Linked DNA regions of Kluyveromyces lactis. The protein of the gene in region 1 interacts with the protein of each later gene in a biochemical or structural test. Links are inferred from orthologs where the notes say so. Each region holds a gene or a part of one and is shown on either strand. Other genes may lie near its edges. The genes, in order: SPS18 and ARL1.

Region 1 (3,099 bases):
TGCTACTTCTTCAAACTCAATTACTTTACCCTTGACTGGATTTCCGATTCTTTTTGCCACATTGATGAGTGCATCCACTCTCGCAGATAATAGACATTTTCTTACTGATAATGTGTTTGGAGCTGCAATAGGAATTTCAAGTGCTATGTTGATATATAGGCAATATTTTCCACCAATTTGGAGGAAGCCTGCAATGTATACCTTGGCTAATGGTACGAAAGTTGAGCAAGATATGACTTTAGCATACGAACCAAAACGTTTTTTCAACGATCAGGAGTTTACATGGAAAGTCGACCCCTCACAACAAAAGGGTGATGGTGAAGAACCAGAAATTGTGACTGTAAGAAATTTGAGTAGACGAACATACCCAAGCAATAGTCACGCAACTATATAGTACCCAAGCATACGACTATCAACTGTTCTTTTTTTCCTTTCTATTTATGCTTTTCCTTTTCATCTATATCAAAAATAAAAAGTGGATCGAAAGTAAATATCATTTCATCATCGAAGTTTACTTCCAGTTTTAAAATATTTGAACAAAAATATTATGTCACAGGATATGTGATAGAGGGTTTCAACTCCACCCCAATTATTTAAATGAGATATTTATAAAGTAAGTGAAAGAAATTTGAGTGAGTTTAAGCTTCTCAGCTTCAAAATTCTTCCCATCCGTCTTCTCCTGAAATCTTCTTTTCTGAAGTTTTGTTTTGTGCCGGAGCTTGGGTATGCGTTGTTGAGGTAGCATCTGCCCCGTCAAACAGTTTCGTGTATTGTGATGAGGTAGCAGGTCCATCCTGTGTTTCCTGTAATTGTTGTTGCAGACCCTTTGTGAAAGAGTTGAGAGCTTGCAGTCCATAACTACTGGATTCTTGGAATTTTTGACCAAACTGCTTGGCAGCCCTGACTGCCTCTTCAGATAGATCTTTTTGTGAGAATTGTTCGACATTTGGTTTGATGATAGATTCTTGAACTTCTTCCATTGATTTCGACACGGCTGAAGAAAATAGGCCCCAACCCTTTGTGAAAGTGCCAAGCGGGTCCTTTTGAAAGTTTTCCAAAGTCAAGGTAGTAGAGCCAGGTTCAGCTTGATTTCCTTTCTTATGTTGAATAATAGGCGTGTTTCCGAAACCTTGATATTTACCACCTTGGGATGGCGGTATATGTTCTGGTTTCTGTAAGTTTTTCTCACCGAGTGTAGCGAAATAGGATTCATTTTTCTCCTTTTGGTTTACTGCTTCTTCAGAGCCAAGTTTTTCAGACAATGAACCATTTAGCTGAGGGGTACCGGACCTAGAGTTAGTTGCTGTAAGCTGGGTTGGGTCAAAATCAGAGCGATCAGGTTCTTCCCATTCTTTGCTTTCACAGATAGCAGTTAGTTTATCTTTATAATCCGAAGCAATAACGTTATCATACTTCAACTTCTGAGGTAAACTCGAATCAATCCCATGGTCTTCCAGATACTCAGTAAATTTGTCATTACCACCGTTTTCCATTCTAACTAGTTCGTCTGATTTGAACTGATCCATAGTGATGGATCTAACGAAGGAGATGTGCACTCCTAATCCTCGGTGAATACCGGCACATTCCAAACAAATGAAAACACCGAATTTAGGCGAGGCCCATTGTGGATTATGAGCCCCACAGTCAAGGCATTTCTTGTTTCCACCAACTTTTTGTAACTGTAACAACCTTCTCCTGTTATCAGGATCGACTTTCCACTCTGACATTGGATCTAGACGGAGAATTTGATAATGATTGTAGTGATCAACTGGAAAAAAAAGAAACACAAGCTTTAAATTCTCAGCTCACTGATTTAAATTGTCAAAAGTGTTATTGATGGCTCCTAACACTTCAGGCACTATCGATAGTTCCAATTCTTCTTAATTGACTTTTGCTTTCCAGCCACAATATCGAACAAATGTTCTACCCCAAAACACAAACTAACGAACCAACACTTAACCTCTAAAGCGTGTCAATACTGTAACAAATATCGAATGATTCACAACACAGATGCTGAGCCCTAATAATCACACTAGGAAGCAGAAGAAACACACGGGTACGTCAGAAACCACAACATTCACCGATTCGTTGATTCTCATGATAATAATCAACATGCTAAATTTCGATTTTCACCGGAAGGTCTAGATTTGAATTTTCATGCAAAGAGATAGAGAAAAAGCCGCCCATGCCCGGGTAACAAATGTTCTTCTGGCTTCGGAAATGAAAGTATTAAACACGAAGCCTGACATCCTGTCTCGAAAAGTTGCGAAACAGCTCGGTACCGGTATCATTACGTTGTTAAAGGGGCGATATAATGGTTGGAACTTGCGTTTTGTTTCTGGAGTGCATTGTATAAGAGTTACTGAACAACTACTAGCATTTTAATAAGCTAATTAGATCAATCAGTACCCGGATAATTTGTTACCCGGACAGAAAATACATCCTTCTCCGCTCTTTATTCAGCAGCTGTAACCTGATAATGCCACTTCTCTATGGCAATTATATAGTCAGACTTGTTAAGCCCGTAAGTAGAAGTAATGATCATCGAATTCAAATGACTCCATCTCCAACTAGGAAGCTAAAACATATTCGCAACTTAGGGGATTGCCCTTTTCTTAGGGTGTTAGTTTGAAATTATCTTCGCTGTGTTTATTGTATATATATATACTGGTGGGTAAATACTGCTAGGTCAACATTTTCTAGATTTAAGGGACATATACTTCATCACTTCGATGAATTGTGACAGGAATTGAGCATAGAGGTACGCAGAAACAGTATAAGAGAGAATGCCTAACACTTTAGATAAAACTTTTGTTGAGAATGGGCCGTGGAAAAAGGATACGTTCCATGGCAAGGTCGTGTTTGTCACCGGAGGGGCAGGAACGATATGCAGGGTACAAACAGAAGCAATGGTGCTTTTAGGTTGTAAAGCTGTAATCGTTGGTAGAAACCCGGAAAAGACGAGGAAAACGGCCCACGAGATTGGACAATTGGTCCATGATCCACACTCTTGTTTGCCCATTTCAAGCGTCGATGTCCGAAATGTGGATCAGTTGCATGAGGCTGTTAAAGTGGCCATTCAAAAATTTGGTAGGTTAG
Region 2 (2,548 bases), on another chromosome or scaffold:
TTTGTATGATTAGGTTGTGACTGAGCCTGCGTTTGCAAATATTCGTTTACCATCTGAACGTCTGTTTGAGTCACCGAGTAAGACTCGAATAGTCGCGGGGAGAAATTCTTGAACTCCTTTACCATAATTCTGTTCCAAGCCATGGCCAATTTTTTATGATAATCGGTGATATTAGTACAGCGACTATAAATTGATGATAACAAATGCTCATAAAAGGAGCACAACCCATAGTTCAGAAGAACAGGAGAGAGATGATTCAAGCAGATAGTCTTATTCACAGGTATGCAGGGATTAGGTGTCAAACAGTTTAATAGTATGATAGGCTCCCATTCGTTCATAGGCTTGTGGCTTATGAAAACAACACAGTAAAGTTCCAAATCTCGGCTTTCGTCATGTAGTACTATATTCCAGAACTGCAAATTTGATTCTTGTGGCTTGATATGGCATGTAGAGTGCTTATAATGGCTCAAACGTTTCCATTCCCTAAGGAGTTTCCTGTACAACGGATGCATCTTATGTGGATGTGGCCTGCTATTTGAAAGAAAAAAAAGTAGTGAAGAATAACAATTATAGGCAATGGAAAAGCCTTTCCAATAATGATATATTACCACACTTAGTTGGCAATATAGTAGTTAAGATATCCAATAATAATCACGTTACCCTTAGCTTTGCATGCAAAGGTATGCAGTCTTACTGTTTTGTATTTTTACAAATCAGATTAATATATTCTATTATTATTTTTCTCTGATTATCATTTTTGATCTACAAATTCTTCATATATTGTAGAATATGTTTATACAGATAGAAGAAGAAAGAAAATTCAGAGCATTAATCAGTACCGGTATGCCTCATGTGAGCTCTCTGCAGTTACAAACTCGCATATATAAAAAATTGAGATTGAACAAAAAAATACAGCGAGGACAATGTGAACGATACAGACTATATACGCAAGTAATTTTTACTATGTCTAATGGGGTCTCTTTGTTTGTTGTTACCCGGCCACTAAAAGGCCAACTACAATTTTAGTGAAAGGAAAATCTCAGGATCGAGTGATTAATAACACACTGCATTGGTTAGGAGTTATGATTTCATTGTATTTAATATTTCACTCATTACAAAGACATTATCTGATCTTATAGTACGAATACAATAAAATTGTTTACACATCAGGAGACAAACTTACCGCTGTCTGGATCGCTGTTTATTCGTTTATTTGTTTCGAATTTTGGCTGTAACTGGTTCTCAAATAAGAAATATTTTGAACAAGTACTTCCTAATTTTACATATCAACTAGTACAAAAGTTTTGGTTTTAAATTATTAATTGACTTATTAATACACCTTTTCTTTAATTACCAACTACCTTTGAATTGACCGCAGTACAGCAATTACTTATAAAATATCACAATGGGTAACTTCTTTAGTTCTATGTTTGATAGACTATTGGGTGCGGAAAAAGAATTACGTATATTGATATTAGGGCTTGATGGTGCTGGTAAGACGACGATATTGTACAGACTACAGATAGGAGAAGTGATAACTACAAAACCTACCATTGGTTTCAATGTAGAGACGTTAAATTATAAAAACTTGAAACTTAACGTGTGGGATCTAGGTGGACAAACTTCGATTAGACCATACTGGCGTTGTTATTACGCAAACACAGCAGCAGTTATCTTCGTTGTTGACTCTACAGATAAGGACCGTATGAATATAGCTTCGAAGGAATTGCACCTCATGTTGCAAGAAGAAGAATTGCAGGACTCCGCTCTGCTCGTATTTGCCAATAAACAAGATCAACCAGGCGCATTAAGTGCGTCAGAAGTATCAAAGGAGTTGAACTTGGCAGAATTGAAGGATAGAAGCTGGAGTATTGTTGCATCCAGTGCCATTAAGGGCGAAGGGATAACTGAAGGTTTGGATTGGTTAATTGACGTGATTAAGGAAGAACAAATGTAATTGTAGAAGGAATTGAAAACTGCATGTTTTTTAGTGCTTCCGGTCCCATTATATTTATCTACAACTGAAATGCTTTTTTAATTTGACATGACCTAAGATAGTAATAAAAATAAATGACAAAGCTAATAACAAAGTTAAAATTCGAATTGTTTACTTCCTGCCGATGCTGGCGTAATGTCCTATTGAATTCCTTTACACGCTTATTTCAATAGACATTCAATTTTCCCATGCATTTTTATTTCATCTCCAAAATCCTCCACTATTTCGTTTACGTTTGCGTATGCGTGATATAATGTTTTCTCCTATTCAAACCATTCCATCGTGCCCTAGTTTCATTATATATATAGCATATTCATAATTCGCATAATTAAGCAGTCATTATACCATGCAACCACGAATCCTTTAAATGGAACATGGTCTTGCCAACTACCACCATATCATTCAGTATATGATGTATTACTTCGCTCAACGTAAAAAGGTAAATCTCTTTGTTATATATTACAGGTGTACATTACCCCCTCGACGAATATCATATACTGGAAACAAATACCAAAAGCGGTACCTCTTTTTGATTATTATTTGCTATAGTAA

Evidence for each region.
Region 2: the proteins of SPS18 (region 1) and ARL1 form a complex in vitro, tested with the Saccharomyces cerevisiae proteins (2 studies listed by BioGRID, with this or other methods). The link is inferred for Kluyveromyces lactis from reciprocal best matches to the Saccharomyces cerevisiae genes GCS1 and ARL1.

Annotation. Positions count from the first base shown.
Region 1 is NC_006040.1:1,593,188-1,596,286, reverse strand, and holds SPS18 (Sps18p), read right to left. Parts: upstream 1,728-3,099; coding exon 654-1,727; downstream 1-653. Other genes in the region: KLLA0_D18964g (phosphatase PAP2 family protein), read left to right, coding at 1-394; SPS19 (2,4-dienoyl-CoA reductase (NADPH)), read left to right, coding at 2,787-3,099. UniProt on the Saccharomyces cerevisiae protein: GTPase-activating protein (GAP) for ARF1 and ARF2. Involved in intracellular vesicular transport. Required for transport from the trans-Golgi network.
Region 2 is NC_006041.1:2,193,149-2,195,696, forward strand, and holds ARL1 (Arf family GTPase ARL1), read left to right. Parts: upstream 1-1,405; coding exon 1,406-1,957; downstream 1,958-2,548. Other genes in the region: UBS1 (Ubs1p), read right to left, coding at 1-512. UniProt on the Saccharomyces cerevisiae protein: Recruits golgins such as IMH1 to the Golgi. Can bind and hydrolyze GTP. May be involved in trafficking events within the endosomal system.